7 linked regions of the Macaca fascicularis genome follow. The main gene of each other region encodes a partner of the protein of the gene in region 7 in a complex. Links are inferred from orthologs where the notes say so. Each region holds a gene or a part of one and is shown on either strand. Other genes may lie near its edges.

Region 1 (3,500 bases), on a different chromosome or scaffold from region 7:
GTCTATTTATTTGTTTACTTATTTACCATGCTTCTTTCCTCTAGCTTCATGAGAAGAGGGGATTTTTCTGTGTTTTATTCACTGCTATATCTCCCTGCACCTATGATGAGGTCTGGTACAGAGTAGATTCAGTATTTATCAAATGAAGGAATAAATACTGCACTTGTGTGAACACACACACATAAACACACACACACCTCGAAACCAACACAACACCCATTTCAACATACAGCACAGTTAGCAATGATCGAAATCAAAATCAAAGTGTAAGTGTGAAAGATACTTGCCTGAGATGCGTAAATTAACATCCTTCTCTTCCTTGTTAACTGCTCCATCACCTTCTGATGGATTCTCATCACTATGTGCTTCACGGGCATCAAAAAAGTGCTCTCCACTGTCATCAAGACCCCCTTCTGGCTCCATGGTAGGCATCTCTGGGGTCATAATCATGTGGTCCATTACTAAAATGTTACTTGCCTGGCTATCCTGGGGTGCCAGTCCCACTGAATCCCGTGGAGCGGAAGATTCAGTTGAAGTCCGAGGACTGTAACAAGTTGCAATGTCACCAGTTCCAGTTCTAAAGGGCATATGTCCTTCACCAGAATGATAGGCCTTAATATTTTCAGAGTTCTGGATGACACTGTCTGCCTGCGGCCCCTGAGAGGCTGTCCTATATCTTGGGAAATGTTGCCAGTCTTCCTGAGCGCTCTTCTCAGTCAAACCGAGCTGCTGCACCAGCAACTGCTTCAACAAACCCACTAAACGATTTAGGAAGGAGGCGGGAAAAAAAAGCATATTCACAACTATAACCTCAGGCTGCAAGAATTAAATTAGCTGAATTATCAATTATCTTTAAAAGTATCTTTTAATGACATATTAAAATGTTAATTAATTTCATACAATCATTTTATTTCATACAATCATTTTCCATTTTATTTTGAAGATGAAATAAAGCACCATCTTTTAGAGAAGATTTACCGTTAAACTATACTTGAAAAGATCTAAGCATTCTGAATAGGGAGGTACTCCTATTTAGAACTCCTGAATAACCAATATCATGCCTCTATTTTTTCTTCTATATAACTAGAATAATACCCTAAAGGTACTTCTTAAGAATGTTGAAAGGCTGTGTTAAGCTAGACAGAAAAAGCTAAAAGTTCTGCTTTTTCCAGATCCAGACACTATATGCATATTATTTCCTCTAATTTCATGAGATACATACATATACTAAAAATAAGAACCAATTTAATTTTGAATGGGCCAAGTGTATGCTATGAGGTCACCCAGACAATGATAGAGTTACTGGGACAATATTAGTCAAACCATCAGAAATCATTAAGACTGTTAATTCAGGAGAATGTATAAAAAATAATGTAGTTTTAAATAACCAATTCTCTGCTCTCATCACTAGCTTAATGTCTGTCACGTTTCTTCAGGCAACAAGTTCCCCTCAGGTCTCTGATCCTGTCCTTCTGCTCTACAATCACTTCCTGAGAGATGCTAGGAAGTCTCATGGCTCTGATGCTCACATCTCTATCTCTTCCTAACCTCTCTCTAAAGTTTGACTCCTAAAACTCTAACTTCCTGCTAGTTACTCACTCTTTAATGTTTTGTCACTCATTATCTTAATCTTGACATGCTTTAAAACTGAGCCTATAATTCTACCAAATCAAAAAAAATAAAGAAAGTACAATGGAAGGAGGTGGGGGAAGCAGTGGTAGTCCTTTTCTGACTCTTATTTCTGACAAGATTAATGAAATTATCTCTAAATATTCCCTTTCCTTTGACCTCACATCCAAACAAGTCAATTGTTTTAAGCACTTGATGACTTCTCACTTCCTTCTTATTCCTTTTGATAACATTCCAGTCCAAACTCTTTTAGTCTCAGGCCAGACTATTACAATAGTTTATTTAGTAAGTACATCATTCCATACCTGTTTCCATTCAAATCCTTCCACAGCTCTCAGCCAGATTAATCTTGTTTCATACCTTTAGTCATATGCTGGTTTAGAAATTTCAAATGGTTCTCCCCAGCCAGAGAAATTGTTCTCAGTCTTTTTCCCACCTCAGTACAACTGAGAGATACGCTATCCTCCCATTGTAACAGTGATTCTGAACCAGGCTGGGGGGTGGGGAGCTAACAGAGTGGCGTGTGTGTGTGTCTGTGGCATGGGCCATTGTAGAGAATACTATAATCTCCACAATAAAACCAGAAGAATAAGTGGAGTTTGATAAATCCACATACTTTAAGGATGGCACATCAGTGCCATACTTAATAAGTATCTGTAGTAAGTTATGAATAAAACTTACAATTTCTTAGTGCATCCAATGCCCATCGTTCTTCTGAGACAGGCAGGTGTGAATCTGGGATTGTGATTTGATAATCTTCTCCAACTTCCTTTAGTGTCCCATCTGTATGTTGTTCCTTTGCAAACTGTCTCTCAGCCACAAAGAGATCACGTACCTCTGATTTCCCAGAAGTACTCAGTGAATGAGACTGAGGTTTTGATGATATTAAGGTAGCTTCTAATCCCAAATCTCTGTCTGTCCAATGGAATAGAAAAGGTAGACTACAGCTAAACAAAGCTTTTAACTTTTAACATGAAGCATTCAGGCAAGAATCAGAAAAACAACTCCATAAACTACAGAGATCATCTGTTAAGCAAAATACACAGCACATAGCGCAGTGTTATACTGACACGCAGAAGGCTCAAAAGCAAAGTTTGTTAAACTGAATCTCTGATGCTGGAACCTGCATAAATCAAACAGTATTAAAGTTTCTTTGCATTTTATTTTATTTTATTTCATTTATTTCTTTCTTTTTTTTTTTTTTTTCTTTTTTGGCATTTTGGTCTTAGTTGCCCAGGCTGTAGTGCAATGGCACGATCTTGGCTCACTGCAACCTTTGCTTCCTGGGTTCAAGCAATTCTCCCTGCCTCAGCCTCTCAAGTAGCTGGGATTACAGGCACCCACCACCATGCCCGGCTAATTTTTGTATTAGAGACAGGGTTTCGTCATGTTGGTCAGGTTGGCCTCTAACTCCTGACCTCAGGTGATTGGCCTATCTTGACCTCCCAAAGTGCTGGGATTACAGGTTTGAGCCACCGCACCTGGCCAGCATTTTAACAGATAATAGAGCACATTCTCCCTTGAACTTGTCAGAAAAGTGTACCTGGACTCTGCAAACCAGTGACTGAAATGCCATGCTGTTCCTCTTTTAATTTTGAAGGATCTTCTTCATCATTATCTCCTCTGTAAAGGAAAAAAAACAACAACAATCTTTTAGCTTCCTGAGGTACCTAAACATCATTGCAACAAAATGTAATAATTATCCTAGTCTTTTCCAACCCAAAACATAAAAAAAAACATACAATGCAAAGGAACACTCACTCGCCAGGTGTTGACTGGGGTAATGGAATTGGCTTTGTGGATTGCTCCTTCACTGATGCAGCCATCCGACAGATTAGGTCCTGCCAGCTTCAGAAAGTTGGAAAGAAATC
Region 2 (2,319 bases), on a different chromosome or scaffold from region 7:
GGTTGAGCATGTCAGGCGAGGAAGGGAGGAGCAGAGAATTGCCCTTTTTCTTGTTCTTTTTCCAAGGCCACTATCCCTTTCGTTTCAGGGCAAACTGACTGCTCAGGGGAAGCTCTTGGGCCAGGACACTTTCTGGGTCATCGAGCCTGAGGCTGGGGGGCTGCTGTCTTCTCGAGGTCGAGAGAGGCGCGTGTTCCTCTTTGAGCAAATCATCATCTTCAGTGAAGCCTTGGGAGGAGGAGTGAGAGGTGGAACACAGCCTGGATATGTATACAAGAGCAGCATTAAGGTGAGAAGGGGGCCACGAGAGAGGGCTTGGACAGAGAAGGCATGAGGCCTCTGAGAGGATGTCTCAGAGGAGCCAGAGAGGGTCTGAGGAATCTGGGGGCTGTCTCCTATCTGCCAATTCAGGTGAGCTGCCTGGGACTGGAGGGGAACCTCCAAGGTGACCCTTGCCGCTTTGCACTGACCTCCAGAGGGCCAGAGGGTGGGATCCAGCGCTATGTCCTGCAGGCTGCAGACCCTGCTATCAGTCAGGCCTGGATCAAGCATGTGGCTCAGATCTTGGAAAGCCAACGGGACTTCCTCAACGGTGAAGCTTTCATCCTTTCTCCCTGATGGGCTCCGTCAGCCCCTTGACCTCCTGAATCCCTCCCTCACTGCCCAGTCTCCAGTACCTACCCTCTGACCATGGCCCATCCCCTTTTCTACTGCTAGCTCAAAATTTGATAGAATCCCCTAAAACCCCAAGCAATTTACATTGGCTGACAGGGAGGGAGGGCAAAGTAGGAGAATGATACAGGCCCTAGGGAAGAGACCTGTCTCTGCAGTAACCCTCCTGTTCCTCTCTTTGCTCCAGCATTGCAGTCACCCATTGAGTACCAGAGACGGGAGAGCCAGACCAACAGCCTGGGGCGGCCAGGAGGGCCTGGAGTGGGGAGCCCTGGGAGAATTCGGCTTGGAGATCAGGCCCAGGGCAGCACTCACACACCCATCAATGGCTCTCTCCCCTCCCTGCTGCTGTCACCCAAAGAGGAGGTGGCCAGAGCCCCCTTGCCCCTGGATAAACAGGTATGATGAAGAGAGCTCCCTCATTGTAGGCATAAAAAGGGGAGAGCCTCTCTTGTTTTGGGACCCCAAGCTCGCTCCCCATATCATTCCTTTTTTCTGGTCCTTCCTACTTCCCATCCCTTACCCTTCTCCCCTCTATTTTAACTCTGGAGAAGCTGATAGTCTCAGACAGTCTAAGATATCTGGCAAGAGGAGGTGGCTTGGCTAGGGACTTAAACTGAAAAGAGAGAAGTGAGGGTAGATTTCTGGCCTTTTTAATCCTCTGACTTGAATCTTTTCTTCAGGCCCTCAGTGACATCCCTCAGGCTCCCCATGACTCTCCTCCAGTCTCTCCAACTCCAAACACCCCTCCCTGCCAAGCCAGACTTGCCAAGCTGGATGAAGATGAGCTGTAACTGGTGAAAACCATGGGGGTGGTGCTGACTCAGCTGCCTATTCCCCAAGAAGCTTCAGGGCAGTCCTTCTGGCACTGCTCCAGAATTCTTCCTTCTTGGTGTGTCTGGAGGAAGGGTGGGCAAGGCTGGGAGGGATATCAACTTGGAGGAGAGCACCTAGACCCAAGGACTTTTTTCTGCCCAAGGAACACAGTTTCCTTCAGCTCCCACCCCTATGCATGCATCATGGTTCCCCCAAAAGGAGGACATGTGGGTGGGTGGGAGGGCTGGGGCAAGGGCCAGATAGAAATTATTGGTTTCGTTTTTTAATTTTGTTTTTCCTGTTTTCTGAGAATAAAGGTTTTGTTATATCACTGAGGCTGCTGTCTTGGCAGAGGGAAGGGGAGGCCGTAGTCGGGGTAGGTGGGGTGAAGTGATATGGAAGAGACCAGTTGGCCCCAGCCATTGGAGGAGGGGGTCTGGTGAAAGGAGAAGGGGACAGGGTGTAAGATAAAAGATGTTGCTATCTTTATCCCTCAACTGCAGTTGCAGCAGTTGAGGGACAAAGACTGAGGCATGGAACCACTGGAAAGCCCTAGATTCTTCTTCTTCTTCTTTTTTTTTTTTTTTTGTAGAGTTAGGGTCTCATTATGTTGCCCAGGCTGGTCTTGAACTCCTGGGCTCAAGTGGTCCACCTGTCTTGCCCTCCCAAAGTGCTGGGATTACAGCCATGAGCCATTGCACCTGGCCAGCCCTAGATTCTTGATGTATCATCTTTACCCAGCCCTTCTTTTTCCCTACCCACCCTCTTGTCTAGACCCCACCAGAAAGCCCAATGCAGTGTGACTTCTCACCGTTCCCCCAACACCCAGAT
Region 3 (3,500 bases), on a different chromosome or scaffold from region 7:
TTGCTATACATAAAACAAATTAGTATGTATTAATCCCCAAATAAACTCTCTTACTAATACTTGTATTTGAGGCTATGTCTAGACCCCATCTAAAAAAATGTATTCACCAGTAGATATTTTCTATTTTTCTACTTCTAAAGGTTAAGAAAACTATCCTTTAGATTTTGTGAAATTTAATTTTTAAAAACTAGGGCATCTGATAAAAAGTTATTTACTGACCTTTCTTGCAAGTTTGAGATCCTCAATTAAATCCTGTTCACCTCGGGACATTTCATATATTGCCTAAAAACATCCAGCAAACATCAGAGGTCATTCCTTCGAGAAAGGAAAATTATATACAACTGATAATCACATTATTTGATGTTTTGAACGGCACTTAAAAACCAAACTCAGTCTGAAAATTGTAATTCAGAATGGAATCTCAAATAAAAGGTTGCCATATGTTTGGTAATTTTACCCTATTAGAGTTGTTTAATTTGACCATCATCCATCATTAGGTTTTGTTCACCATGTATTAGGAATTGTTGCTCAAACACAAAAATCCAAGTTAATTTTGCCATCGGTATCAATTTGCTGTTCTTTTGGGAAAACACGTATTTAAAAAACAGGTCTTTTTAAAGTGCAGGCCAATAAATACAGTCTTGGTGCTGAGTGCCAGCATACCTCCTGCCGTTTGATTTCTCTGGTGGTGAGCGACTCCTTCGTGGTGATGTCTAGCATCTCTGACCACAATGCACTGCTCCTTCTCTTGGCGGGGGTTGGGACTGTTGACCTGCTAGAAAACTTCTGGGCAGAGGCTGGGGATCTGTGGTCACCACGAAGGGTAAATGACTTAAAAAAGAAAAGGTGAACAAAAGAGAAAATAAGATTAGGAAGAACAGAATTATTCCCATTTTCTTTTTTTTTAAAGTGAAGAAAGACAAAGTTCTGAGAATTTCTCAATGCAGAAAACAGTAATTTATCCAAGTTTCCACCTACCAATCTTAAATATTTATCAGCTAAAATTACGTTTTTGGGAATAAAAACTAGCCAAGACTATGCATTGATATAAGATGCAAATTAATATAACGAGGTTACACATTGTTCTGCAACAATATTCCTTAGTAGTATATTCCAAAAAGAAAACTATGTTTAAGTATAATAATGCAAACCTGTTTGTACAGCTCAAGGAAAACTACAAATTCCAGGCTTCTATAAAGTCCCCTGACTACATGACTCTTCCTTCTCTCTTTTTACCTGTATTGTTTGACCGAAACGTCTGACAGCTCCATTTCTTACAGGAGAGATTAAACTTGCCAGGGAGGTGACACGAGCCAGAGGTCGAACTCTTTTATTGCTTGGCTCCTATAAAAACAAACCAGATGACACTAAATGTATGTTTAGGGGCAATGATTTCATAGAAACTTGGACAAAGTAAAGCCCTCTCACAAAACAATTTTTATACATTATAAAATACAGAAACATGAAAATAAGAGTTGTTCTTCATTGTCAAAACAATAAGAACGCTATTGAGTAGCAGTAACTTTTCAAAAAATAATAAGTGCATAAGAAAGGCCAAATATTTCCATTGGGGAAAAATTAAAATTCAAACAAGGAAATTACATCCTAAAATCCAATAGAACTTTTTAATGTGGAGAATAACTTTTTTTTTTTTAAAAAGTCTTATTGTTATGAAAATTTTCGAACATACATGAAAGTGGAGAATGGCATAATGGATCCCATGTGTCTATCAAGCGCCCTCCACAGTGTCTGGTATAACAATTTGTTTCATTTTTGTCCCTACTTAAATATTTTAAAGCAAATCTCAGACATTATACCATTTCATTCTTAACCACTTAACCACTTTCGTTAGAAAATATGACCTTTCAATAAACATGTCTGACACTGGAATGGGCTGAAAAAGAGTGAAGCCAAGGCAGGGAGGAGTTAAAAGAGCACCCAGGCTCTGAAATCTGACTGGGCACAAATCCCGGCTCTACCACTTGCTAGGGCATACTCGGCATCAGTTTTCTCATCTGTAAAATGGGGCTAATACCAGCACTTCTCTTATGAAGTTGTTGTGAAGATTAAATGAATAATAGGGCTTGAAACAGTGCGGCACATATTAAGTTTGAGCCATTACTAACATATTTTAGGAATATTTCCATTTACTACATAAACACTGAGATTCGTAAATAATTAGATCCACTTACTACATAAACACTGGGATTCATAAATAATTAGATCCTCTCTCAGTAATTTATTAACTTAAAGGAAAGGTATACACAAATTGAGAAGAAATAGTTATGATTCTACATGTTATTGCTTTTAAATAATAATATAGCAAACACATCACTTATTCAAAGATTTTGAAACTTAATAAAAATTGCATTATTCTGATTTTATCGCTAGAAAAATGGAGGCATACCAGTAGGTAACTCACACGGTTACTGAAATGAAGAATGCCAGATCATAAAACTAGCAGGTCTATTCTTTATAATGTCTATGGAGCACAACTATTTGTATTTTGTGCCTCTGACAATTGTGGCATACTTGACAAAATAATTTTGATGAGAATCCAGGAGGATATATAATTTTAAATTATATTAAAATTATCACTGAAAAGTAAGACATCATTTAAAAATAACAGAAGAAGCAACTTTTTCTAAAAATTCTTTGACATGACTAAAGTAATATAAAAAGGAAGGGGTATAGAAAATGAGTAAAAATAATGCCTTTAAATAACTGAAGACTATATTGACCATTTTTGGTTTGGGTAAAAAAAATTTTTTTTTTAAATTAATAATTTAAGAATAAACTGACAGGAAAAGTTAACATTATTTGGAAAGAAATGTAAAAAATTTGAATATCCAAAGAAAGAATTAGACTCATTAAAGCTCCTAAATGTATCAGAAAGGAATGTGAACTACCAAGGAAACTTGGTAATCAAAGAGAATTTAGAAATTTGAAGGCTTTAAGAGGCAGAGTTGTAGATCAACCCCTCATATCAAATAATCAACTCCAAAGTAAAACTTTGAATATAAATGAACTGCAAAAGAAACCTTCGCGATATGTAGTAAGATGGCACACGCCGTGCTTCTGAGGACATGTGTGGATGCCTCCCCCACGTACATCTGTGCTGACTGACTGACACACGCGTGTGCAGGGGCCAGCACAGGCATTCCTTTCCATTTAGTAAAGACAGCACAAAGAGTCTCCTGTTGGACTGAAGATAGAATTACCTCACAGAGTCAGAAATGCCGACATTTCACTGGAACAAAGCAGTTGTCAGAAAGTTCTGTTCTGCTTTTTGGGAACAGAGGTTAACTCTTCTTCCTTGTTTCATGCATAACAAATTTGACTTCCCAGAAAATACAATATTTAATTTCAACTTAAAAGTCTTTGCAAAGGTGCTTTTCCCAATGAATATGAATGGAAAATTTAGTTAGCAGGAAATACATTTTTGATATCTATTTTATCACATAAAATCAAATTAACGATAAAAATTTCTTATCTTTATA
Region 4 (4,133 bases), on a different chromosome or scaffold from region 7:
AGATTGTCAAAATGGCAAAACAGTAGAGTGACACTGTTTTGGGCTTCTGAGAACTTCCAATACCATGATAATAACAAAAGAACTAAGGGTCACAGAGACTGGACAAAATGATAGAGTGTCATCCAATCAGAGCAAAATGTTCTGTGATACAGGACCTGACCTACACTTCTTAAGCAAGAAAAATATCTCAAAGCCCCGCTTTGCCTAAGTAAGAGATGTGGACTCAAGCTGGACAGGGTGGCATATTTACAGCACAACTTTAGCATGGCAGAATTCCCTGAATTTGGTGCACTTCAAATGTAACACTGTTTTTACATCCTCAGTAGGAGTTGCCCAGGTTGACCCACCTCTTCATAACAAATATTTAAGGTTCTGGGTGGGGGCCAGGGGCAGGGGGGAATCCCAGAGCTACTCTGCTTCACTAAAAGCAACATAAATACAAATGCAATTACACAAAACCCACCCAAACCAGATCTGTCATATCTGATTAGTGAATAAAAGCATAATAAAAATTATAGTCAGCCTAGGTAATTTAGGTGACTTTTCCAACATTTATATCATGAATTTTTTTTGAGGCTTTTCCAACATTTATATCATGAATCTTTTTTTCTTGGAATTCAGCCCTTGGTCATAAACTGGCAGGACTTGTTGGAGCTTGGGTACCAATATAGTGGTGTACAGAATGTTTAATATAAAAGTAATAGTATGTGCTGCAATTTGTTTCAATACCTACTTAGAACACATAGTCTTTTCTCACAGGGCATACTAAAGGAGGTCATGTATCAGAGCTCACCTGAAATTCCTGCCCAATTTAAGTCTTAGCCACAAGTGCAGTTTCTTATAACACAATAAGAAAAGATTCCAAACATGATTAAAAAAAAAAAAAGCATGAAACCCACCCAAGTGAGTCTCCTGAGACATCTCATAGAAACTTAGTTATTAACTACTATTTTCTTCTGTATGTTTAAGCGTTTATAAACTGCTTAAAAAACAATTGGGTACTTCAGAGGAAAGTCTAATGACACGCCTGTTATACAACCTGTTCTTAGCTGGCCAGATTGTGTGGTTTTGATAAGGAAAAAAAAAAGAAACAGTCAAAAGCAGAACAAACACTGATTCTCTGTTCACCATTCTCCCCTTACCCAAGACATTCATCTGAGTCACACTATAGCTAGCTCTGTGCCTCAGTTTCCCTAACCATTAGCTATAATATCTGATGCTAGCCAAATTCCTATTTGATCAAAGTTAATCAGCACAATAATCACATACAAAGTCCACATCAGACATTACATTGAAATACTATGTTGTATTAAAAATTCCAAAGGGTTTTGCAGATTCATCTCTTTTCTCCAAATATTCCAAAGGGGTTACTTTGGACTATTAATCAAGATTAGGCAAATACCCATGTGCTTTAAGAATGTGTAACTAAAAACCCAGGACAGATCTGGAGAAACCTTCCCAGGTTTCCCAGAAGTTACCACTCTGCTTGGATTGTCATGTACAAAGTAGATGCCACAGAACCTAACAAGGGCAGGTCCTTGATTTGTTTTTGCAGCGAAAACAGGATTTCACTTACCCCTGACAGCTTCAGGGCTTAGGAACACGAGATAACAACGCTTCAGAAAGCCAGGGTCCCCATGGAATCCCAAATGATCAGTTCTTTATAAACGAATATTAAAGACCTTACTTTCTTTGGTATTTTGCCCAATTGGTGTGGTCCGTGGTGAACCTCTACAACTCCTGGTGTGGGGAGATTTGTGGAGACGCAGGCCGGGGTCTAGGCGGGAGAAGCTGCTCAAACACAGATGTTACCACTGTTTCTCGGCCCACCCAGTCAACCAATGCGGGGACGCTGTGGGCCTCTAGAGATGGATTCTTTCTTAGAAATCTAACTGGTCTCTGGGAAACCAGAGCTGGGTTTCCAGGGCCGCCTGAGCACCCAGTTTCCATACAGCCCTCGACCCAAATGGTGCCTTCTTGGCCAAACACCCGCCTGTCATTCGGAAACCCTAAGCACGGGAAGGCTGTGGCACCACCACATACACCCCGGGTATTTAAGGGGAAACAAATGCATAAAATAAGCGTAAGGAGTCCCACATAATTCTGACCGCCTTTCCCAACCAAGGTAACTATAAATGCCTTTTGAAACACAGCAAATGCTTCCACACGAGTAAGTGGTAGTGCGTGTGTCCTGAGCTTGCGCTCCGTCTGCATTCTGCGGTCCTGGCCCTGCCAAGCACCCTCCGCCCCGGAGCAGAAGCATGGATGGGAAGGACGGACACCAACTCTCGACGCTCTCCCTTCTCCACCGCAGGAGCGCTGTTTATTTCCCTGGCTCCCGAAGGACACTGGCTGGGCTTTCATCCGCCCAGCCCCCAGCTCTCAGTGCGCCCGAGCGACCCCGCGCTCCGCAGCTGCCGCCGCCGCCGCACGAGGCTGCACCGCTCTCTCCACTTGTTGCCGCTCCCAGGAGAGCGAGAGGCGGCGCCCAGCCCTCGCGCCGCAACGCCTGCAGAGCTCCCGGGTCACCTCTGCTGACTCTCGCATCCCTGGAGAAAGTGGCCCTGCGGATGCGAACTCAGGTGGGCAAACTTTTCCACCCAGAGCTGCAGGGAAACGCAGACCATGGAGCCCCAAAGAGCATTTACCTGCAGCGATGGCCCCACAGCCTCCAGAGCCCAGGCGAGGCGCTGCCCCCGTGCCCTGCCCGAGGGCGCCTCGGAACGCGCCCCCCGCCAGCCGCCGCCCGGAGTCCGGAAGGCTCTACCCGGCGATGCCAACGCCTGGCGGCGGCAGGACTGAAGCCAGGCTTTAGGGGGTGGAGCTGCGGCCGCGCGCCCGGGCCGGGCTGGCTGCGCCCTCAGCGGGTGACGCCCCCGCCCCCCCCGCGCCTCCCCCCTGCCACTGGATCCCCGCCTGCCCACCTCCCGGCCCGGCTCGCGGCGGCCGCATCACATGGCGAGGCCCGCCCGCCTGCCTCGCCCGACACCGGCTCCAGGAGGAAACCTGAAGCTGCCCCGACCGCGCTGTCTCCGCCAGCCCCCTCCCGCTGCGGGGCGGCGGCCGGTGGCCTCGGCTTCCCTCCCCCGGCCCGGAGCTCTGAGGCACGGAGGCTGGCGCGGACCTGCCGGGCCACAGGAGGGCCAGTTGCGCCCCGGGCGCCTCCACGCCTCGGCGCCTCCCAAGGAAGGCGCTGGGCTGCCGGCTCGCAAAAGGAGTTGTGCCAGGCCCAAGGGAGGCTCAGGGTGTTCCCAGCCAAAAGCCACCACACCCGTGACATAATACGGCCCAGGTCTATTACAATAGGAAATATTATTTTTAAAAACGGCATTTGCCCTCTATTTGAAGCTCATGTTCCCCGGCCGAGCTTTGCAAGCTGCGATTCCCTTCGCGTTTATCCACGCAAGTGGCTGCAAGTCTTAATTCAAAAACGTATGAAAACCATAACCACTTTTACAATGAACAGCAATGTGAAGGGGACTCCCTTATCCTCCAAAGCGGTTTTCCTCTTAGATGTGATGACAACCCCAAGAGCAGAAGCCAAGCCTCTTCATCAGTCAGGCTTTCATCATACAGACTTAAGACCATTGTTACAGCTTTAAAGGTACAATTACCGATCTGAGTCTTCTGTGGCAGGAAGTGTTGTAGTTAAGACTATTTGTAAGGAAATTAGTATTGAAATATAAAGTTTCTAATAAAATTTATAAAATCACCTTGAGTCTCTGCTTTGTTTTTCCTTTTAAGACTGGCTACCCACAGAACCATAACAAAGGTGTGGCCCGAGGAAGCTGGCCACCAAGATACCAAGCCAGAAAGGAGCCCAGTTCCCAGGCTGCCACCACTTCTCTTGGGCCTGGGCCTTTTCTGTCTCCCTTCCAGCCGCCACCTTCCCCAGCCCACCTTGCTGATAGGAATGCTGAGAAAGGCTGAGATTAGTAAGAGAAGACCATCGTGTGTCTGAATGGCCTTAGCCCTGTTCCAAGGCAAAGTCTACAATTCCTCCTTGGGAAAAGGGCCCCAACGTTGGCATTACGCTGCTGACCTGGGCTGTCATCCCAGCTGATTCCACCGCTCAGCCCCACAGAGCTGTGAATTCAAGGCCTGGCCTCAGGCGCTGCCACAAAAAAAAAAAA
Region 5 (3,500 bases), on a different chromosome or scaffold from region 7:
ACCATGTTAGCCAGGATGGTCTCGATCTCCTGACTTCGTGATCCACCCGCCTCGGCCTCCCAAAGTACTGGGATTACAGGCTTGAGCCACCGCGCCCGGCCCAGATCCTTTTTTGAGTCAGGCAATGATAGAGCATTTGCCATGTGTCCAATCACAGGGAGGCTGGGCCTCATGTCCATTCTCACTTCAGACTTAAGCCATGTACTTTCTCCAGCAGATCCACGTTTAAGAGGCTATTTCTGCATAAAACCAAGGATAAAAAATACAGCCTGGAGGGCGTGGAGGAGTTGGAGAATGCTGTGTCCGGGCATGTGGTGCTGGAAACTGCCACCATGAAGAAGGGCCTGGAAGGTTGGTCACCTGCAGCCTCAGGGACAGCAGAGCCACCAGTGTCCCTGGGGACATTCATTGTCCCCAAATGGGGCCTTGAGTTGGCTGTGGGCCAAACCCTAGGCACAAAGCCAGGGGTTTCTGGCCCTGGATAAAGGCATGCCGTAGGAGGTCCTCTGCATCCTTCCCCCAAACCCACCCTCACCAGCTGCTTCCTGTCCCATCCTCAGCCCCCTCCGGACACCAGCACCGCCACGCCGCAGGTGAGAAGCGCACCAAGGAGCCAGGAGGCAAAGGGAAGAAGAACCGAAACGTCAAGATTGGGAAGATCACGGTGTCAGAGAAGTGGCGGGAATCGGTATTCCGCCAGATCACCAATGCCAATGAGCTCAAGTACCTGGACGAGTTCCTGCTCAACAAGGTGGGACCACTAGGGGAGAGCCAGGGGCATGAGGCCCGGTCCGCAGGGGAACCATCACAGCCAGGCAGTGCTTTCTGAAACACACACCACAGGGCTTAGCAGGTCAAGAATACAAAGCGCAGGCTCAGGCCGGGGACAGCGGTTCATGTTTGTCATCCCAGCACCCTGGGAGGCTGAGGCAGAAGAATCACTTGGGCCCAGCAGTTCAAAACCAGCCTGGGCAACAGAAAGACCCCATCTCTACAAAAGGTTTAGATTTTAGCTGGTGTGGTGGTACACACCTGTAGTCCCAGCTTCTGGGGGCTGAGGCAGGAAGATCGCTTGAGCCCAAGAGGTTGAGGCACCACGAGCCATGATCGCAGCACTGCACTCCAGCCTGGGCGACAGAGCAGACCCTGGCTCAAAAATAATAATGATGCATATTTGGTCTCAAAGCAAAGATTGATGAAGCACCGTGTGCAACGGAAGTGGAGGCGAGCAAGCTGTGGCTGCCTTCAGGAGGGTTATACCCCATGGGGGTGGGGGTTGGGCCATCCTGCAGCAGATAGAGCTACGTTTGGGAGCTGCACAGCGGCCACAGGGGGTCGATGGGGACACAGAAGGATCAGGAAACCCTGCTAGGAGTAGAGGCATCTCGAAATGACCAGACCATTCCAGACATCCCGGTCCTAAGGTATGGCTGGGTGTTGAACCCTTGTGTGGGGCAGCAGGAAGGCCCTGAACTGACCTGTAGCTCTCATCTAGGGGGGATTCTGCCCTCCAGGGAACACTGGCAATGTCTGGGGACATTGGGGTTATCACAACCTGGAGGGAGGGCGCTGCTGGCCTCTGGTGGGTAGAGGCCAGGGATGCTGCTTAACCTGCTGTGGCGCACAGGGCAGGCCCCACTGTGGAGAGTAGTCCTGCCGTGAATATCAGTGGCTTTATAACTCTGACATTTATAACTCTGAGAGGAGAGATCAGGCTTGGCCAGAGGGACTGGATTTTATCCCAAGAGCCTAGGGGATGACTTAAGAGAGGATACAAGTGACCCGTTGGGCACCTCCTCGGGTACGCAGGTCCCCAGGCCTGAGGCACGCAGGGTCAGCTCCTCTCCCCTTCCAGATAAATGACCTCCGTTCCCAGAAGACGCCCATCGAGAGCTTGTTTATCGAAGCCACCGAGAAGTTCAGGAGCAACATCAAAACGATGTACTCTGTCCCGGTATGTGGCGGCCCGGCCTTCAGCCTTTCCCATACCCTGCTCAGACCCGTCATTCCCATCCGCCCCTTGCCCGGGCCTGCGGGGTGACGCCTAGCATTCCCACAGAACGGGAAGATCCACGTGGGCTACAAGGATCTGATGGAGAACTACCAGATCGTCGTCAGCAACCTGGCCACTGAGCGCGGCGAGAAGGACACCAACCTGGTCCTCAACCTCTTCCAGTCACTGCTAGATGAGTTCACCCGTGGCTACACCAAGAATGACTTCGAGCCAGTGAAGGTGGGCAGCCCAGCACGCCACGCCCACCCATGCCTTGCCATGATCACTTACACCAAGCCCACCTGACATGCCACGCCCACCCATGCCCTGCCCATACCACGCCCACCATGCCATGCCATGATCGCTTACACCATGCTTACCTGTGCCTTGCCATGATCACTTATGCCACACCCACCTGACATGCCACGCCCACCCATGCCACGCCTATGACATGCAACATGCTATGCCTACCCATCGCTTGCCATGATTACATGCCACACCCATTTGTGCTACGCCTACCTCCTGGTGGGGAGTCCTGCACCCTCCCCAACAGGGCCTCACTTCTGGGCGTGGGGTGTCTGAATGGGGGGTGTTAGGGACAATGATGCCACTCCAGGTGAGGGAGGGTTCAGGGTACCCAGATTCCTGGGTTATGGGGTGCCAGGGGTGGGTTGGGTCACTTCCCAGGGGGCCCCCGTCGACCTCCTCCTTGTGTTCCTCACAGCAGAGCAAAGCTCAGAAGAAGAAGCGGAAGCAGGAGCGCGCTGTGAGTAGGCTGCACGTGGATGACAGTCCCAGCAGGCGAACGTTGGCAGGAGCGTGCACGTGTGTGTCAGTGTCAGTGTGTGCATGGGCCCGTCTGCACACGTATGTGTGCGTGGATACGTGTGAGTGTGTTTTCTCCCCAGCACATACGGAGCCGTAGTCTTGAATAAGCAGACCCACCCCTGAGATCCCGTGGGCCATCATCCACCAGTGGCTGGGGAGGGCTGCCTTCCCCTTCCCCCGCCCAGCGCCCTTCTCTGGCCTCACAGGTCCAGGAGCACAACGGGCACGTGTTCGCCAGCTACCAGGTTAGCATCCCGCAGTCGTGCGAGCAGTGCCTCTCCTATATCTGGCTCATGGACAAGGCCCTGCTCTGCAGCGGTGAGTGGCTCCCCACCCAGGCCCCAAACCCCTCCACGTCCCCCACCACCCCTCACTGCTCAAGAGGGCTTCAGGGCCAGGCAGAATGGCTCACACCTGTAATCCCAGCACTTTGGGAGGCCGAGGCAGGGGGATAGCGAGGTCAGGAGTTCGAGACCAGCCTGGCCAAGATGGTGAAACCTCATCTCTACTAAAAATACAAAAATTATCTGGGCACGGTGGTGGGCACCTGTAATCCCAGATACTCAGGAGGCTGAGGCAGGAGAATCACTTGAACCTGGGAGGCAAAGGTTGCAGTGAGCCGGGATCACGCCACTGCACTCTAACCTGGCCAGCAGAGCAAGACTCAGTCTCAAAAACC
Region 6 (3,964 bases), on a different chromosome or scaffold from region 7:
TATTTTTAGTAGAGACAGGGTTTCACCATGTTAGTCAGGCTGGTCTCCAACTCCTGACCTCAGGTGATCCACCCGCCTCGGCCTCCCAAAGTGCGCGCCCAGCCGAGCACATCTTTAAAAATCAACCTTATTTATTTCTTGAGACAAATTAAAAAGCACTTCTCCCTCCCCCCATCATTAACCAGTATACCTTCTACCTTCTTATGTGTACATGAATTGTAATACTAACTTCCTTGGCTCAGATATAAAACTGTTACCCAAGGTTTCAATTTTAAATTATCGTATGTACCTACTGATCATACATGAAACTGCCTTACCATTGCCTGAGGTTGACTCAAAACCTACCTACAGTGTACTGGGAAGCATGGTACAATTATACCTTTCTGTTTCTGCTTATCCCCCAACTAGGTACTATGTGCCAATCCAAATGTTTGTTCAGAGACTAAATCTTCAGATGCAAAAGCTGAAAATAATAGGTGGTTTTAAGTTCAACAATTTGCCAAAGATTTACTGAATTCCTATTTGAAAAGCAGTGTGGGGAACACAAAAAATAATAGGACATTTTTCATCTTCTGGGACTCATGATTAAATGCACAGCACACACACATAAACAACTCCATAATATGGTAGATTATATAAGTGCTAAAAAGCTTCTAACAAGGTACAAACAGTGCTTATGAAGAGAGAGAGATTAACCAAAGAGTATCAGAGATGGCTTCAAAATGAGAGATAGGTTTCTATTTGGCCCTTTTTAAAAATCAAGCAATAGCATTCAAGATTTTGAAGATGATATTTAAGTAGATAATTTCATCTCTTTCAGGTATTTTTATTCACTAGTGTTGTAACGAAATTGGATTTTTTCCACTGAAAAAGTACGGATTTAACATGTAAGTTAAAATGTTAAATGGTTTGAGGCTCACCTGGAAACATAGGAAAATGTATTTTTCAAGCCAAACTTGAACTTACAGTCCAATATCAGATAGGGTTATTGGACATACTGAGTATTTTCTTTGAACGTACACACATTTATCTGTGTATGTACGTTCAAAGGAAACATACATAAACGTGTGTATGTTCGACGGAAATACACAGCTTGTCCAATAATCTGATATAATACCTATTTAAAATTCTACTTTAAGAGAAAGGGTAGACACGCATAAACGGCCCACCCAATTTTTACAGAAATTTGTTCAGCATATCAAGAGTACTCACATTAAAAAAAAAAAAAAAAAAAAAACACTTAACTGAAAATAAAATTCAGAGCCGTAGACCTTTTTTGATTCATACCACCTCCTCCATCAACCCTGGCCTCTTCCAGATATATGGCCAAAGGTCGCGATCAAAGCCTGAAGTATTTGCTGTTCCAGAAAACTCTATGGACACCATTCCCAGGTTTAGATACTTCTTGAAGATTCTGAGTTGCGCAACCTAACTTTGAACGTGTTGAGCACTGTATTAACAGATGAAAGGATCACATTCATCTCAATCTTTAAATAACTCGCACAGAAGGGGTGGGAAAAGTCCCAGTTGACAGATGCCAAGGGAGCAAATTTTAAAAAGAGGAAATTATGACAGACAGGAGTGGCAGCAAACTGGGGAACTTAGTACAAGTCGCTACTATTAAAAGAAACTTTGAGCTCTTAATTACACGACAGCATTCATCAGACGTTTCTGTGATTACTGAATGTAACAGTTAAGCAATAGATGATGTAAAAAAATTAGGTTAAATTTATATATCGTTTTATAAAACATATTTGCTCTTAAATATCTCATCCAAACCAGTATCTTCAGATTAACTATAAATACAAAAGAAGTAAAATCAGATTATGTAGATTAGACAGGGGGAAGCTGGGAAAGAATAACTACCATGTAAGTTCGGTAACAACGTTACAGGGCGCAGTTTCCTGCTACAGAAGACAGACGAAGGAATCCAAAAAATAGGCTGAGTACAGGAATATTGCACACTGTAGTCACCCAGCATTAATTCTACAGCGAGCTGCTCTATCCTTCCTCACGTTCCTCGTGGCCTCTGACAAGTCATCCTTTCAACCTATGGGGCTGTCCGCTCTCCCCCTTGGAAAATAATTTCCGTGCAGGTTGTAAGATCTCCCTCACAAACTACTTGCTTCCACTTCCCCGCCCGGGATGAGGAGTCTCCACGACCAGGAAAGGTCGCACTGACAGAGAAGGAAGTTACATTAAGTGGTCGTGGTCGGACCCGAGCCTCGAGCTCAGCAGACGCGGGGGAAAAGGAAGCGGGCGGCCTCGGGAGAAACGGGGATGGAGACGCGGATGCGAGCCCGCGAGGCAGGCTCCGTGGTGCCCGGGCACCGGCAGGAAGAATGGAGGAGGGGAGGCGAGACGGCGAGGTGCCGGGGAGCCGGGCGGCGGTCCGGCCCGCGGCCGACCCCACCCCAGCCCGCGCTCGGGACCCTCCCAGCCCCGGCACCCGGCGTGCGTTCCGCGTGCGCTGACTCTCCCCGGAGGAACAGCCAGTCTCACACCGGGGGACTGGAGAAATCCGGCAACTTTGCGCGAGAAATGCTTTCCACCCTGCAGCACGCCGAGAAAGAAAAAAATGTCAGGCGATGACGGGGGAGGAAGGATGACTTACCCATGTTGCTCCCCGAGGGTGAGGAACCGGCGGGGCGAGGAGAAGGTCTCCGGTGCGGGCGGCGCGGCTCTGTGTCCTCCCTCTACCTCCGTCTCTCCCGCAGCCAGGGAGGGACCCGCGGGGGGCGGCCGCCGGGGAGGAGCAGCTGGTGCTGCTGCAGGCGGCGCGGCCGCGGCGGGGACGAGCGGCGGGGGGCGGGGAGGGGCGGGGCGGGGCGGGGCGGGGCTGGCGGGCGCAGCCTGCGGCGGGCGCGGCTCCGAGCGGGCGGGCGGCGGAGGCGCGGTAGCCGGCCTGAAGAACGCCGGCTCCGACTCGCGGCCCGCGAGCGCCCCGCCCTCCCCACCGAGCATGCTCAGTGCCTTTTCCACCCCTCCCTCTGTGGCGAGCGAGGCTAAGCGTGCGGGTGGGCGTGTGTTCGCAGACCGGCTGCAGCCGCGGCAGAGGATCTTCATGGCGGCCGTCTGAGGGGCGGAGGGTGGGCCCGGAGAAAGCAGGGAATGGGGCTGTTGAGCCCGATCTGCTAGCAGAGGACTTACCGCTGCCTTGCTTTCCCACCCTGACCCACCAACCCCCTACCCGGAACCCGGGCCCGCCTTCTTTACGGGACGACCCGGCCGCACAGGCCAGAATTAACCGGAGAAGAGGCTGAGCCGCCGCAGAGCCGGGAGGGGTGGTGGGAAGCCAAAGCTGACGCCTCGACACGAAGCTGGAAAGGACGTGTAGGCGACTAGGCCTGCGCCTCTTGGGGACACCTGAGGACGCCCGCTGGGCAGCTGGCCGAGGAGCGGCCGCCGGGAGGGTGCTCTATAGCAGGCGTGTCATTGGGACAGTTAAGGCTGCTGTAGCAGTAGCCAGCTTAGAAACAGAGGTCCCGGCAGCCAGGAGAGCGCCCGCCCCAGGATTTCCTTGAAGAGTGTGTCGTTCTCCCTCCCGGAGGAGCGCGGCCTTCCGTTCCCCGGAGGGCGCTGGAAAGGCCCTTTAACCGGGGTGCCGTCGGGCTCCATCCTGCTCTCTGTGAAAGCGGGAGGAACTACGTTCCCCAGGCTTGAAAATAGGCGTCCTGCTGGGTTGGCGGCGGCACAGCCAAGCTAACCCGGCGGAGGTCCTGTGATCCCGGGGCCGCCGCCCGTTCCCACCACCACTCGGCCGCGGGGAGAACCTGAGCAGGGCGCTCCCACTGAGGGCGTCCTCCCGACCTGGCATGCGCGTGAGGCCGGGGCTGGCTTCGGTCGTCTGCCCTGTGGGAGGAGGCTGGAGGAAACCCTAATCTTGCCCTGGCTCCTCCTGGGTGGGGTGCGGAATCTGGTCGCTCTCCGAGGCGCAGCGACCGCAGTCCTTCAGGGGAGAGGG
Region 7 (3,500 bases):
CACATGTAATCCCTGCACTTTGGAAGGCAAAAACAGGCAGATCACTTGAGGTCAGGAGTTCAAGACCAGCCTGGCCAACATGGTGAAACCCCATCTCTACTTCAAACAAACAAACAAACAAACAAACAAAACTAGCCAGGCATGGTGGAGGGCGCCTGTAAGTCCCAGCTACTCGGGAGTCTGAGGCAGAAGAATCGCTTGAACCCCGGACGCGGAGGTTGCAGTGAGCTGAGATTGCACCAATGCACTCCAGCCTGGGTGACAGAATGAGACTCCATATCAAAAAAAAGAAAGTTCCTACATCTAAAGCCACTGACTACTTGCTACTGATGAAATGGTTCATTCCCAGGCCAGCAGTCCTTACGGGCATAGCACTACCTCATAAAAAACATTCCATCTCACAGAACTAGTGAACTATTTTAGGGATCTTCTGTGAAGATCTCAATAAATGAGGGTCAGAGGGCCAGAGAGGGGCTTCTGAGCCTCTAAAACAACCTGGCCTGTGAAGGTTTCTGCTGGGCTCCCCAAACCTCCAACCTTGGGGCCATAGTTCAAGAATAATACAAGACAGTCCTGCCCCAGATCATGCCTGCTTCATCTTGGCTAGCTCCCGCCTTGTGTGCTCATCATTCCGAAGATCCTTCTTATTCCCAACCAGGATGATGGGCACGTTGGGACAGAAATGCTTGACTTCCGGGGTCCACTTTTCTGGGATGTTTTCTGAAAAAAAAAATGTAGAGAATTTGGGGATACATACAATTCTATCTTGAAGACTTTCCAAGAACCTCAGTGAAATTCAGAGACACTTTCTTTGTGGCTTCAGAAGAATGCTAGACATTTAATGAAACCCACTAGTTTCAAAACCATAAAAAAGGGCAAATATAATCCCTTTCCTTTAAACAGAGAACCACCAGCTTTTTCTCAGTATAGCCAAGAATGGTGCTGAGCATCTCTGTAGGTGGGGCCCAAGGAAGGGCTCTGGAGGAGCAAAAGATCCACAACACAAGGTAGCTTCACGGGGGTACTTCCTGCCCCACAAAGGCAGGCACTTTACAGGACATCCGTTACTGCTGGTAGATGATTCTGACATAGCTTACAGAAGGGGTGCCCATTCTAGGGCAGCAGCTGACCCAGGGTCTATATGCTCCTTTTCTAACTTGTTCATGGACTCTCAGCATAACTTCTACCCTATAGGTTTACTGGTATTTCAAATGGCTCAAGAGTGACTTTTGGCCAGGCGCAGTGGCTCACGCCTGCAATCCCAGCACTTTGGGACGCCGAGGCAGGCAGATCACGAGGTCAGGAGATCAAGACCATCCTGGCTAACACGGTGAAACCCCATGTCTACTAAAAACACAAAAAATTAGCTGGGCGTGGTGGTGGGTGCCTGTAGTCCCAGCTACTCGGGAGGCTGAGGCAGGAGAATGCCATGAACCCGGGAGGCAGAGTTTGCAGTGAGCCGAGATCGCGCCACTGCACTACTGGGTGGCAGAGCAAGACTCCATCTCAAAAAAAAAAAAGAATGACTTTTGAAAATAACCAAACGAGGCTGGGTGTGGTGACTCGCACTTGTAATCCCAGCACTTTTGAGAGGCTAAGGCAAGTAGACAGCTTGGGCCTAGGAGCTCAAGAACAGCCTGTGCAACATGGCTAAACCCCATCTCCGGCCAGCACAGTGGCTCACGTCTGTAAGCCCAGCACTTTGGGAGGCTGAGGTGGGTGGATCACCAGAGGTCAGGAGTTCGAGATCAGCCTGGCCAACATGGCAAAACCTCATCTCTACTAAAACTACAAAAATTAGCCAGGCGCGGTGGCACGCACCTGTAGTCTCAGTTACTCGGGAGGCTGAGGCAGGAGAATCATTTGAACCCAGGAGGTGGAGGTTGTGGTGAGTCGAGATCTTGCCACTATACTCACTACAGCCTGGGCAACAGAGTGAGACTCTGTCTCAAAAAAATCAAGAACCCCATCTCTACAAAAACATACAAATACTGAGTTTACTCTCAGGCGGGCAGATTGCCTGAGGTCAGGAGTTCGAGACCAGTCTGGCCAACATGGTGAAACCCCATCTCTATTAAAAATACAAAAAAATTGCTGGGCGCGGTGCCTCACGCCTGTAATCCCAGCACTTTGGGAGGCCAGGGCAGGCGGACCACTTGAGGTCGGGAGTTGGAGACCAGCATGACCAACATGGAGAAACCCCATCTCTTCTAAAAATACAGAATTAACCGGACTTGGTGTCTTGCATGCCTACAATCCCAGCTACTCAGGAGGCTGAGGCTGGAGAATCGCTTGAACCTGGGAGGCAGAGGTTGTGGTGAGCCGAGATCGTGCCACTGCACTCCAGCCTGGGCAACAAGAGCGAAACTCCGTCTCAAACAAAACAAAACAAAACAAAAAAACTAACCGCGCATGGCGGTGCGTTCCTGTAATCCCAGCTACTGGGAGGCTGAGGCAGGGGAATTCCTTGAACCAGGGAGGTGGAGGTTGCAGTGAGCCAAGATCGTGCCACTGCCCTCCAGCCTGGGCGACAAAGCAAGACTCCCTCTCAAAAAAAGAAGAAAAAAAAAAAAAGAATACTGACTTCTGAATTATGTGGCTGTGTTTAGGCTAATGAAATGATCACATTCAAGCTTCTATCAGTTAGTTAAGACACTCCAGAAAAAGGCTAAGCCAGGGCAACCAAAAAAAAGAAAAAAAGTCTTTCCCCAAAAGAGATGGCTTTACATTTGGAACTCATCTGGTATACTTTTTTTTTTTTTTTTTTTTTTTTTTTGGGAGATAGTCTGGAGTGCGGTGGCCCTATCTTAGCTCACTGCAACTTCCGCTTCCCAGGCTCAAGTGATTCTCCCGCCTCAGCCCCTGGAGCAGCTGGGATTACAGGCGCACACTACCACACCCAGCTAGTTATTGTATTTTAGTAGAGACAGGGGTTTACCATGTTGCCTAGGCTGGTCTAGAACTCCTGACCTCAAGTGATCTGCCAGCCTCAGCCTCCCAAAGTGCTAGGATTATAGGCATCAGCCATCGCGCCTGGCCTTAGTTTATTCATCTTTGTATTTGGAATTCATCTAGTTTACTCATCTAGTTTACAAGGCAGTTACATTTTAAAATAACATTTAATATTATTTAGTAATAATATTATTTTTGAGATGGAGTCTTGCTCTGTTGCTTAGTCTGGAATGCAGTGCCATAATCTCGGTTCACTGCAATCTCCACCTACAAGGTTCAAACCATTCTCCTGCCTCAGCCTCCAAGCACCTGGGACTACAGGTGTGTGCCACCATGCCTGGCTAATTTTTTTTAACTTTCAGTAAAGACAGGGTTTTGCCATGTTGGCCAGGCTGTTCTCGAACTCCTGACCCTCAGGTGATCTACCCGTCTGGGCCTCCCAAAGTGCAGGGATTATAGGTGTGAGCCACCGTGCCCTGCCTAGGTGGATACATTTTAAATAAAGTAGCCATGGGAAACCTAGGCTGAAAGGGACCCAAGGCCCACAC

What was found.
Region 1: the proteins of RHOA (region 7) and ARHGEF12 are in contact, whole or in part, in a crystal structure (PDB 1X86), measured with the Homo sapiens proteins. The link is inferred for Macaca fascicularis from reciprocal best matches to the Homo sapiens genes RHOA and ARHGEF12. Residues at the interface, in NP_001300870.1 of Homo sapiens: Arg5, Lys7, Thr19, Lys27, Val33, Tyr34, Pro36, Thr37, Val38, Phe39, Glu40, Asn41, Val43, Asp45, Glu54, Trp58, Asp59, Ala61, Gly62, Gln63, Tyr66, Asp67, Arg68, Leu69, Leu72, Ser73, Asp76, Glu97; in NP_056128.1 of Homo sapiens: Pro766, Asn768, Gln770, Glu790, Val791, Glu794, Thr798, Ala801, Cys888, Gln891, Pro892, Lys899, Arg922, Arg923, Leu924, Gln925, Lys927, Asp928, Pro931, Thr932, Met934, Gln935, Thr938, Lys939, Leu942, Leu943, Asn946, Arg968, Leu971, Asn972.
Region 2: the proteins of RHOA (region 7) and ARHGEF25 are in contact, whole or in part, in a crystal structure (PDB 2RGN), measured with the Homo sapiens proteins. The link is inferred for Macaca fascicularis from reciprocal best matches to the Homo sapiens genes RHOA and ARHGEF25. Residues at the interface, in NP_001300870.1 of Homo sapiens: Arg5, Tyr34, Pro36, Thr37, Val38, Glu40, Asn41, Val43, Asp45, Glu54, Trp58, Asp59, Ala61, Gly62, Gln63, Asp65, Tyr66, Asp67, Arg68, Leu69, Leu72, Pro75, Asp76; in NP_891992.3 of Homo sapiens: Tyr163, Val164, Glu167, Thr171, Met174, Tyr175, Asp178, Cys253, Lys256, Pro257, Glu260, Ser264, Arg275, Arg281, Leu282, Asn285, Asp286, Ile289, Lys290, Val292, Gln293, Arg294, Met296, Lys297, Gln299, Leu300, Leu301, Cys327, Pro330, Lys331.
Region 3: the proteins of RHOA (region 7) and NET1 are in contact, whole or in part, in a crystal structure (PDB 4XH9), measured with the Homo sapiens proteins. The link is inferred for Macaca fascicularis from reciprocal best matches to the Homo sapiens genes RHOA and NET1. Residues at the interface, in NP_001300870.1 of Homo sapiens: Arg5, Lys7, Tyr34, Pro36, Thr37, Val38, Phe39, Glu40, Asn41, Tyr42, Val43, Asp45, Glu54, Trp58, Ala61, Gly62, Gln63, Tyr66, Asp67, Arg68, Leu69, Arg70, Leu72, Ser73, Pro75, Asp76, Pro96, Thr100, Pro101, Glu102; in NP_001040625.1 of Homo sapiens: Glu177, Ala178, Glu181, Gln270, Leu271, Lys274, Lys281, Gln291, Leu294, Glu295, Arg300, Lys301, Leu302, Asp303, Trp305, Ser306, Asp309, Arg312, Ser313, Arg314, Val316, Lys317, Leu320, Leu321, Glu324, Gln347, Leu350, Ser351, Ile353, Asn354.
Region 4: the proteins of RHOA (region 7) and ARHGEF28 are in contact, whole or in part, in a crystal structure (PDB 6BC0), measured with the Homo sapiens proteins. The link is inferred for Macaca fascicularis from reciprocal best matches to the Homo sapiens genes RHOA and ARHGEF28. Residues at the interface, in NP_001300870.1 of Homo sapiens: Arg5, Val38, Phe39, Glu40, Asn41, Tyr42, Val43, Glu54, Ala56, Trp58, Arg68, Leu69, Leu72; in NP_001171164.1 of Homo sapiens: Lys1140, Ile1142, Arg1144, Glu1145, Val1146, Ala1147, Asn1148, Glu1149, Phe1154, Ile1156, Ala1158, Ser1159, Ser1160, Pro1163, Glu1164, Met1165.
Region 5: the proteins of RHOA (region 7) and MYO9B are in contact, whole or in part, in a crystal structure (PDB 5HPY), measured with the Homo sapiens proteins. The link is inferred for Macaca fascicularis from reciprocal best matches to the Homo sapiens genes RHOA and MYO9B. Residues at the interface, in NP_001300870.1 of Homo sapiens: Asp13, Gly14, Ala15, Glu32, Tyr34, Val35, Pro36, Val38, Phe39, Gln63, Glu64, Asp65, Tyr66, Arg68, Leu69, Leu72, Asp90, Glu93, Asn94, Glu97; in NP_004136.2 of Homo sapiens: Glu1731, Gly1732, Arg1735, Lys1736, Ser1737, Gly1738, Ala1739, Ala1740, Arg1744, Lys1772, Gln1773, Arg1776, Arg1840, Met1841, Ala1845, Ile1848, Ile1849, Pro1852, Cys1853, Arg1856, Pro1863, Leu1864, Ser1866, Met1867, Val1870, Thr1874.
Region 6: the proteins of RHOA (region 7) and RAP1GDS1 are in contact, whole or in part, in a crystal structure (PDB 5ZHX), measured with the Homo sapiens proteins. The link is inferred for Macaca fascicularis from reciprocal best matches to the Homo sapiens genes RHOA and RAP1GDS1. Residues at the interface, in NP_001300870.1 of Homo sapiens: Ala3, Ile4, Arg5, Lys6, Asp13, Lys18, Lys51, Asp65, Tyr66, Asp67, Arg68, Leu69, Arg70, Pro71, Leu72, Ser73, Tyr74, Lys98, Trp99, Pro101, Glu102, His105, Phe106, Leu179, Cys190, Leu191; in NP_001093897.1 of Homo sapiens: Arg111, Tyr118, His121, Ser171, Glu200, Met201, Val204, Asn208, Glu211, Leu212, Glu213, Ala249, Glu253, Lys290, Thr291, Asp294, Leu295, Val297, Leu298, Leu301, Asp303, Leu334, Leu338, Ala341, Asn342, Ala344, Arg345, Asn346, Asp347, Cys350.

The regions. Positions count from the first base shown.
Region 1 is NC_088388.1:119,346,223-119,349,722, reverse strand, and holds part of ARHGEF12 (rho guanine nucleotide exchange factor 12), read right to left. Parts: intron 3,478-3,500; coding exon 3,391-3,477; intron 3,253-3,390; coding exon 3,173-3,252; intron 2,545-3,172; coding exon 2,311-2,544; intron 759-2,310; coding exon 288-758; intron 1-287. UniProt on the Homo sapiens protein: May play a role in the regulation of RhoA GTPase by guanine nucleotide-binding alpha-12 (GNA12) and alpha-13 (GNA13). Acts as guanine nucleotide exchange factor (GEF) for RhoA GTPase and may act as GTPase-activating protein (GAP) for GNA12 and GNA13.
Region 2 is NC_088385.1:64,427,346-64,429,664, forward strand, and holds the end of ARHGEF25 (rho guanine nucleotide exchange factor 25), read left to right. Parts: exon of another isoform or gene 1-88; coding exon 89-289; intron 290-411; coding exon 412-592; intron 593-859; coding exon 860-1,071; intron 1,072-1,355; coding exon 1,356-1,466; coding exon of another isoform or gene 1,467-1,473; 3' UTR 1,474-1,819; downstream 1,820-2,319. UniProt on the Homo sapiens protein: May play a role in actin cytoskeleton reorganization in different tissues since its activation induces formation of actin stress fibers. It works as a guanine nucleotide exchange factor for Rho family of small GTPases.
Region 3 is NC_088383.1:6,384,015-6,387,514, reverse strand, and holds part of NET1 (neuroepithelial cell-transforming gene 1 protein), read right to left. Parts: intron 1,345-3,500; coding exon 1,237-1,344; intron 832-1,236; coding exon 664-831; intron 283-663; coding exon 220-282; intron 1-219. UniProt on the Homo sapiens protein: Acts as a guanine nucleotide exchange factor (GEF) for RhoA GTPase. May be involved in activation of the SAPK/JNK pathway Stimulates genotoxic stress-induced RHOB activity in breast cancer cells leading to their cell death.
Region 4 is NC_088380.1:77,614,683-77,618,815, reverse strand, and holds the start of ARHGEF28 (rho guanine nucleotide exchange factor 28), read right to left. Parts: upstream 2,801-4,133; 5' UTR 2,649-2,800; intron 1-2,648. UniProt on the Homo sapiens protein: Functions as a RHOA-specific guanine nucleotide exchange factor regulating signaling pathways downstream of integrins and growth factor receptors. Functions in axonal branching, synapse formation and dendritic morphogenesis.
Region 5 is NC_088393.1:17,518,526-17,522,025, forward strand, and holds part of MYO9B (unconventional myosin-IXb), read left to right. Parts: intron 1-214; coding exon 215-351; intron 352-560; coding exon 561-751; intron 752-1,855; coding exon 1,856-1,954; intron 1,955-2,059; coding exon 2,060-2,233; intron 2,234-2,717; coding exon 2,718-2,759; exon of another isoform or gene 2,760-2,880; intron 2,881-3,027; coding exon 3,028-3,139; intron 3,140-3,500. UniProt on the Homo sapiens protein: Myosins are actin-based motor molecules with ATPase activity. Unconventional myosins serve in intracellular movements. Binds actin with high affinity both in the absence and presence of ATP and its mechanochemical activity is inhibited by calcium ions.
Region 6 is NC_088379.1:103,859,576-103,863,539, reverse strand, and holds the start of RAP1GDS1 (rap1 GTPase-GDP dissociation stimulator 1), read right to left. Parts: upstream 2,801-3,964; 5' UTR 2,619-2,800; coding exon 2,615-2,618; intron 1-2,614. UniProt on the Homo sapiens protein: Acts as a GEF (guanine nucleotide exchange factor) for the Rho family of small GTP-binding proteins (G proteins) that stimulates the dissociation of GDP to enable subsequent binding of GTP.
Region 7 is NC_088376.1:112,362,189-112,365,688, forward strand, and holds part of RHOA (transforming protein RhoA), read right to left. Parts: intron 721-3,500; coding exon 590-720; intron 1-589. UniProt on the Homo sapiens protein: Small GTPase which cycles between an active GTP-bound and an inactive GDP-bound state.